Linked DNA regions of Daphnia pulex. The protein of the gene in region 1 purifies or fractionates together with the protein of each later gene. This does not show direct contact. Links are inferred from orthologs where the notes say so. Each region holds a gene or a part of one and is shown in the gene's direction. Other genes may lie near its edges.

Evidence for each region.
Region 2: the proteins of DDB1- and CUL4-associated factor 1-like (region 1) and COP9 signalosome complex subunit 5-like purify together in Homo sapiens (affinity purification with mass spectrometry; 8 studies listed by BioGRID and IntAct, with this or other methods). This does not show direct contact. The link is inferred for Daphnia pulex from reciprocal best matches to the Homo sapiens genes DCAF1 and COPS5.

What each region holds. Positions count from the first base shown.
Region 1 is NC_060022.1:4,447,270-4,451,549, forward strand, and holds the start of DDB1- and CUL4-associated factor 1-like, read left to right. Parts: upstream 1-1,276; 5' UTR 1,277-1,405; intron 1,406-1,582; 5' UTR 1,583-1,591; coding exon 1,592-1,704; intron 1,705-1,769; coding exon 1,770-1,917; intron 1,918-1,992; coding exon 1,993-2,671; intron 2,672-2,744; coding exon 2,745-3,673; intron 3,674-3,735; coding exon 3,736-3,984; intron 3,985-4,046; coding exon 4,047-4,268; intron 4,269-4,280. Other genes in the region: mRNA export factor GLE1-like, read right to left, coding at 1-73, 134-349, 413-576, 667-874. UniProt on the Homo sapiens protein: Acts both as a substrate recognition component of E3 ubiquitin-protein ligase complexes and as an atypical serine/threonine-protein kinase, playing key roles in various processes such as cell cycle, telomerase regulation and histone modification.
Region 2 is NC_060026.1:5,023,570-5,027,257, reverse strand, and holds COP9 signalosome complex subunit 5-like, read left to right. Parts: upstream 1-1,683; 5' UTR 1,684-1,751; coding exon 1,752-1,891; intron 1,892-1,951; coding exon 1,952-2,186; intron 2,187-2,244; coding exon 2,245-2,439; intron 2,440-2,499; coding exon 2,500-2,697; intron 2,698-2,761; coding exon 2,762-3,019; 3' UTR 3,020-3,079; downstream 3,080-3,688. Other genes in the region: transmembrane protein 65-like, read right to left, coding at 3,415-3,688. UniProt on the Homo sapiens protein: Probable protease subunit of the COP9 signalosome complex (CSN), a complex involved in various cellular and developmental processes.

The sequences.
Region 1 (4,280 bases):
GCTCTTTACGACGTTTTTCATTGTCGGCATCGTAAGCAATATTCTTTGGCTCTGGTCCTGTTGTATGCCTTGCCTTAAAAAAAAATATACAGTTATTTTTTTACTAGGTAACACAGACACAAATATCCTTTACCTTGTTTAATATGTTGCAGATATCATAATATCTCTCCTTCAAGTCTTCGATTGACCTTTTTGAGAATCGTGTACTATCCCAGCGGTCCTGAATAACGGTGAAACGAAGATCAAATTGCCGACAGAGGTCAAACAAATGATCTGTTTCTTGCTTTGTCCAATTATCAAGTTGTAGTAATTGATATTCTTGATCAGTGTAAGAAAATATATGGACTTGCTAAAAAAAAATATTTTTATATAAAAGAAATTTTCAAATCAATTAAAAAAGATGGAAATCAACCTTGTTAAATTTAGCAAATGGATACTCTTTCCCTTCATCTGCAGCTCTACGCCAATGGTGAAATACAGCTCCATCTTTCCGTGCTGGGTTAGTAAAGGGCATCCACTTCCAAGGTCTCACTTTACGGACACCTAAATGAGCTTTTGCTTGCTTGTATCCTTTACCTGATTGGAAATATTTATGAAATCTTTGGCATACAAATATTTCTTTCCCTTACTGGAAGCACACAAATTGCAGACAGACAAAGTTGTTACCTGTGTCAGTTGGAAATAGAGGAGCTGCATCTTTACTATCATTGACCAAAAGATTGAAAAGTTCTCGTGCCATTCCCTCAGGTTTACGTAAAACTTCATTTTTAGGTTTGTATTTAGGTTTCGGTTTTTGCGTTCCCATAATACTTTCTTTCGTCACTTCTGGAGTTCCCGGTCTCCCTAGCTCCAAGATATCCAAAACATCAGCCATTTTTACTTTATTCCTCTTATGCCCGACGTTTTGATCCGACACGTGTCAACACTTACGACAAGAATGTGAGTAACTTTCAAAGTTCAAACCACAAAATATTTGAAGAAAATGTCACATAACAATCGTAAAAAAAAAACGTCCACAAAGATTCACAAAAAGGACGACAAAAGCAGACACAGTTTTTTAAGCACGCTAGGTAACCATAAGAAAAGCTATTGTTGTCAAGTTTATTGAAAAATCCAATTGTGAGAAATATCATTCAATTTGTAATATGAAAATTTGCTAGAAATTTTAAAAATATTTTAGCTATAATTTTATCATTTAAATCTGTATTCTGGAGGTCTAACTTCCTCAAACAAGCAAACAATGGAATTCGCAAGAATTTTCCAAAATATTAATCTGACAACGTTTTTTTCTCAAGTCTGCACATAGAAATTACACAGAACGTGGTGCACACTTCTGCAGCAATTTCAAAGAAACTTAATTTTAATAAGGGAAGTTGTAGTTTCAGATAGACGTAACAGTTCGAAGGTGAGTTTTTGTTGTTTATAATGCAATAGTTTTTTTTTAACTTATGGTGAAGATTTGTGACCCATTGAAGTTATTCTACTCGTGTTGTGAAATTGTGATTGGGTTCCAAAAACGTCCTTTTGTGTTTCATTTTGGCGTCGATAAGTTTCAGCTAATTTGTTCTTATTTACATTTAAGTCATCCAGTATGGCGAACGACACCGTAAATCTGACTGAAATGTCAGATGTCAGTGCTATTTTGAGGTTATTTGAGGAACATCATGTAGCACCAACATTTGATCCTGTTCCCTATCTTTCTAGGTATGTGTTATTTGTTTTTTTGCAAGATTTTTTTTTTCTTAATCATGTTAATTTTTGTTTTCAAGACTGGCTGAACTTTTGGAAACAGAAACAGAAAATTACCTAAAAATGGATCCAGATCCTTTTGATGATCGTAACCCTTCTAGGAATCCAAATTGCAGCTTTGGACACATGCTTAAAATAATATTCAAGAAGGAAATTTTTATGCAAAAAGTATTATTTTCATTTACTTGGCCTTGATCTTCATTCTAAATATAAATGCTATTTTTTCATTTTTCTTAATATTAGTTAGTTGGAGACTATTTACGTGACACTTACTGGACCAGATTAGGCATTTCTACCAGAGATTCAAGGGAACTCAATACAGCTGCAGCTCGTCTTGTTCTAGATTTAATGCCAGGCTTAGAAGTATCTGTGGTGTTTCAAGACACAGAAGGATTGATCAACAGACTTTTTAGTTGGGCAGAAAAAGGTCCAGAACCACTTCAAAGCTACGCTACTGGTTTGCTAGCTGCTGCGATGGAACTACAAGACTTGGCTGCTAACTTTCGTGAGTTAAACGCTCATCTAGCACCGTTAATGTTGAAAAGGTTATGGGAAATCCAAAAGAGATGTGCCGAAGAAAAGAAAAATGACGAACTCGGAAAAATCAAAAGATTTTCAAAATTTTCAAGCGACCAACCGAGTACCTCGAGCAAAACCCCAAAGAATACGGCGAGTAGTAAGAGTCGAGCATCTTCCAGTTCAAAGGTCCCAAAGGATGAAGATGCTGAATTAATGCCTGGACCAGAACCGGCCGATGGAGCCTCCGATAAAGGAAAATTGCCAAAGAATAACAAAGCAAAGAAATTTCAAGGCAGGATTAAAGGTTCCAAAGAGAGAAAAAGTGGAAATGCATCTCTGAATGGATCAGCTATGAATGATTCTAGCAACTCGTCTTGGGCCGAAATGGAATCATACGTCATCGGTAAAAGATTATTCTCCATGCAACAAGTGTGTCTGTAAAGTTAAAAAACTAACACTTCTTACTTTATTTATAGGAACGTATCAAATGCATCCATTGACGGACTCAACTCGGCAAATCTTAATCTTGCGATATTTAACACCCATGGGTGAATATCAAGAGTTACTAGTTCACATGTTCGAGCAAAAGGCGCTCGACCTTATTCTTAACTACATCGACTTTGACGAGACCCAAGATTCGCGTTTATCGTTCGAAGCACTTAAATATCTCGGAGCACTGCTTTGTCACAAAAAATTTGCCATCGAGTTTATTCATCATCAGGGATTGCATCGCTTACTTGAAATTCCACGGCCGAGCATTGCTGCAACTGGAGTTGCCATGTGTCTTTATTACATTGCGTATTGCGAAGATGCCATGGAGCGAGTCTGTCTCTTACCAGATCACGTCATTCAAGAGCTAGTCCGATATGCTCTTTGGCTACTGGAGTGTTCGCACGAATCTGGACGTTGTCACGCTACCATGTTCTTTGGGACATCGTTTCAGTTCCGCATTATTTTGGAACAGTTTGACGCCCAGGATGGTCTTCGCCGGTTGTACAATATGATCAGCACTTTGTCAATACTTTCAATGGAAGATGCAAGTGATTTGTTGGATGATGACGAATCTCATGCTGCACGCCAAACCGTTCGACACGTCTGTGCGGCGCTAAAACGATACTTTGAAATTCATCTGGCTGGGAAAGTTGAACATCTTCAACGGATCAGAGTTCGTGAAATGGGTGGTTCTCCCCATCCGTCAACACCTCCCTACAAAGCAATCAAGCTTAATGCAGATCAAATTATCGATCTAATCACCACTGCTCAAGAACTGCTTCCGTTTCGGGCAAGTTGGTCACCCGTCAATGAATTTGTTAGCCTCGGGGGTATCCCTCTGCTTCTACAAGTTATTGCAATATCCTACCTATGGAATTTTACCGGACGTGCCGAGACTGTTCGCAGCGCTTTGGTAAAGAAATTAAATATATTCTTAAAGTTAAATTATTAAATATATTTTATTTTATTTTGCAGGATGTTTTAGCCGTTTGTTCTGTTTCTTTCAGAGTTCAGATGCTATTTTGTGATCGTATTCAAATTCCGGATGACGCCAATGCTGTAGGCATTAATATTCTACTTGGAGCAGCTGAAGGAGACATTGTAGCTGACCCCGAAGTTCAGCGTGCCGCTCTTTGCGTACTCATTCACTGCGTTTGTGCTCCCGTCCATCGAGTTGGAGGTTCTGTCGGTAGATTTAATGGCAGTGCCAAAAGACGCAGCGTGGTAATTTCAATGATATTTTCTTATTGTAGAATTTATGTATTTACGCATTGTGCTTTGTATAGGCTAGTCGAACGAGCGAAGAGGTTCTCAACCAAGTTTGGGAGTGTGTACGATCCCACAATGGAATCATGGTGTTAATGGACCTTCTATCTGTTAAAACACCCATTACGGATGCTGACTCGATTCGCGCTTTAGCCTGTAAGGCCTTGTTAGGTCTTGCACGCAGCGAAAATGCTCGCCAAATCATGGGTAAACTACCCTTGTTCACCAGCGGTCAATTGCAGGTAAATCATAAA
Region 2 (3,688 bases), on another chromosome or scaffold:
AACTCGGGGAGAAGAACACAAAGTATTCGGTAAGTTGCTTGACAATCTCGTGCACAGTAAGTTACTAATTGCTGAAAATCGTCTTTAATATCTGTTAGAGAACCAGTTACAAAGATGTTTCGCTTCTCTTTATCTAAACCTAATCCTCCGCAATAAAGTTTGTGCACATCATTTAAACCGTTAAATGAGCTGACATTTTGCCACTCTAGAATTTCTTCCGTTTTTCTTGACTTGCCATTACAGTACTGGGGATTTTTCAGAGAACGATCAATAGGGGTACCAGATTTTGCGGCAAGGAGCATGTTTCTTTGAAAACTCGTGATGCCACTGATCGCTATGTGCAAAGCCATCGTATCAAAAAATCGAACTTTGGTGCCATCGATGAAATACTGCTCTTTTATTCGCGAACGGTCATAACTTACATTATGTCCTATAACGATACGCTCTTTTTGATCTTTGAGAGGGAGACGGTCTTGTTCCGTTTTTGATTCCAAGTTGATCAAGTCCTTTAATTCATAAATACTTTCCATATCCTTCAAAATTGAACTTTGCACCTGTCAAGTAGGATAATAAAGCATTGATATAGGGTGAAAAAAGTATTAAGAAAAATAAAAATAAACCTTATTTTCAGTAAACAGCTGATTACTACACCATGAGTACCAGTAGTTTTTTGAAACTGCAGTTGCAAGGGTTGGCAAATGGCCCTCTTTCACACAGACTTCCACATCAAAGACATATGCATCCTCTTCTGGAAAATGAACTAGATCCATCTCTCCATTTTGGTTGTATCTTGTCCATCCAGGTGCAAAGTTCCAGACTTGAGGGATGTCTGGAATGCAATGTGATGTCAAATCTAACAATTTATTACGGTAACTTCCACATTGTTTTTCAGCAATTTTTTCAAAGTGTTCTGCTATGTTTTTTCCTAATAAAGTTGGGAGCTTCAAATCAATATCTGGGAGTTTACTTGGTGATTTGCCATAAAGATGGTGAATTGATAAATGCTGCTGAATTTTTAACAGCGTTTCTTTAGATACAGAATTGTTGTTTTCTTTTTCGAATATCTGTCGATGGATAGATCTTGATAACATTTGTATACCACACGGATTAATAGTAACACATTTGTTTGAAATAGATACTTCTTCTTTGCATTGGCTTTTTGTTGAAAAATGTATTCTATAATTATGAAGAATATTTAAACTAGATAATGAATATTTCCAAGGTATTTTCCTACGGTTATGTTTAATTTGCCACACTCGAAACGAAAGCATGTTTGGAAACAAGTTTGAATTTGTTTATCGGGCATCGGCAACTCCACGGTAAGAAATAGTAAAACGTGGGAAAAAGAGTAGATAGGGATTTAGTGGTGAGGCAATGGACAATGGACTAATGGAGTAGGAGAAGTCAGAAGTACTGAAGTAGCAGTCGTAGCAGACTAGGCAATCGCAGTCGTCCAATCCATCCCTGAGGCTGAAATCCTACGTTTTACTTTGTTCCTACCACCGCCGCGACCCGCATTTTACCTCTTCATTCTCCCAGCAGCTCCCAGTATGCCAAAGGCAAAACAAGACCCGTAGGTCGTAGTCTCGTAGACGACATCAACAGTCGATGAGATTTAGTTTCCGGCTGTACGTTTGGATTTGATATATTCAGCACTGGTATACCTCGTTCGAATTTCCCCATTTGGACTTTAGAGTGTCTTTTGCAAAAAGAGGTTTCAAGTAAAATTGGTTGTGTGTTCCACATCCAAGATGAGTTCACAATCTAACATAGCCCTGAATAATTGGCTCATGGCTAATAATGTGGAAAATATTAGTTCAGTTGACGAAATTTATCGATATGATAGAAAGCAACAGCAAGACATGTTGGCTGCTAAACCATGGGATAAAGAGTAATATTATTTTTTATTTTGTATCAAGTCATGTTAACAACTTTACGTTTTATGTTCTAGCCCTCATTTCTTCAAAGAGATCCGTATATCAGCCTTGGCATTGTTGAAAATGGTTACTCATGCTCGGTCTGGAGGACATCTAGAAGTGATGGGATTGCTTTTGGGCAAAGTAGATGCAAACACAATGGTGGTAATGGATGCATTTGCCCTGCCAGTTGAAGGCACAGAAACCAGAGTAAATGCTCAGTCACAGGCTTATGAATACATGACTGCTTACATAGAATCAGCTAAACAGGCAAGTACATTTGCTCTTGATCACATTTTTAAGTAACTAATTGGAATATGAGTATTAGGTTAATCGTCTTGAAAATGCCATTGGATGGTACCATTCACACCCTGGATATGGATGCTGGCTATCAGGAATTGATGTTTCTACCCAGATGCTTAACCAAAATTTCCAGGAACCCTTTGTTGCTATTGTTGTAGATCCTGTTCGTACTATTTCAGCTGGCAAGGTGTGTCTTGGTGCCTTCCGTACATACCCTAAGGTGAACAGATATATTTTTCTATCAAGCGTACAGAGTAGTTTACTTTTTATTTTTCCTTAGGGTTACAAACCCCCAAATGAAGAGCCAAGTGAGTATCAAACCATCCCACTCAATAAGGTTGAAGATTTTGGTGTCCACTGCAAGCAGTACTATGCCCTTGAGGTTTCTTACTTTAAATCAGCTCTGGATCGCCGTCTATTAGACTCATTATGGAATAAGTACTGGGTCAGCACATTGAGTTCTTCATCTCTCACCACAGTAAGAACAAATATTCAAAGCGTTATATCATGTTATAAAAAGTATTAATATCTCTTTTTATTAGAATGCTGATTATACAACAGGTCAAGTATCGGACCTTTCGGAAAAACTTGAGCAAGCTGAAAACTCTCTAGGACGGGCGGCTCTAGTCGGAAGCGGCGTTGGTGTGAGTGGCTCCAGCATTGAGGATAGAAGATCGGAAGATAGGCTAGCTAAAGCAGCTCGTGATGCTACAAAAACTTCCATTGAAGCTCTTCATGGTTTGCTGGCTCAAGTAATTAAAGATCGTCTGTTCAACCAAGTGCGTTCAAGGCCTGCGTGAACCATCTCGTTTTTCTAAATATCCTCTGAGAATCCTTAATAATAAACTGGCTTATGCATACCATTTTGTTTGTGTTTTCTGTGAATGAGTTACCAAGTGTTAGAATATATTGTATTGAACATGTAAAATTCTTTGGCTATATCTCTAATAATGGGGTCAAGATTGAACAGCAATTGTGGGCAATATAAATAATTGTTATGTGAAGAATCTCCACGTTAGTTCATCGGAATGCTCAAAAATGTGCAAAACAATAAGAATCGAACATTAAAGTTGCCAAGTCGCAGTAGGATCCATTGCCATTGCGCGGCAAAATGTCATTTTTATGAGTTTAAATAATTATTTTAGGTTCACGTATTTGTAAGGTTATAAGACTAATAATATATCGGACATGCCAATCACAAATGAGATGAAGGGTCCTTTGAATGCCGTTTGCTGTCAGATGTAGGTAAAAATAAAAGTGGTACCATTCCAAGCACACATCCTATAGCAACACCAATAGCACGTCCGATATTAATGGCCCAAGTAGTTGATCGAAAAGCATATTGCCGAGGCTCGAGATCGGGTTGAGGAATTCCTAGTTTTTGAGAAAAAGACTCGACGAACTGAGCAGATCCTACTCCAGCAACATCAGATATTGCATTTCCTATTCCAGCTGCTGCCATAGTAGAA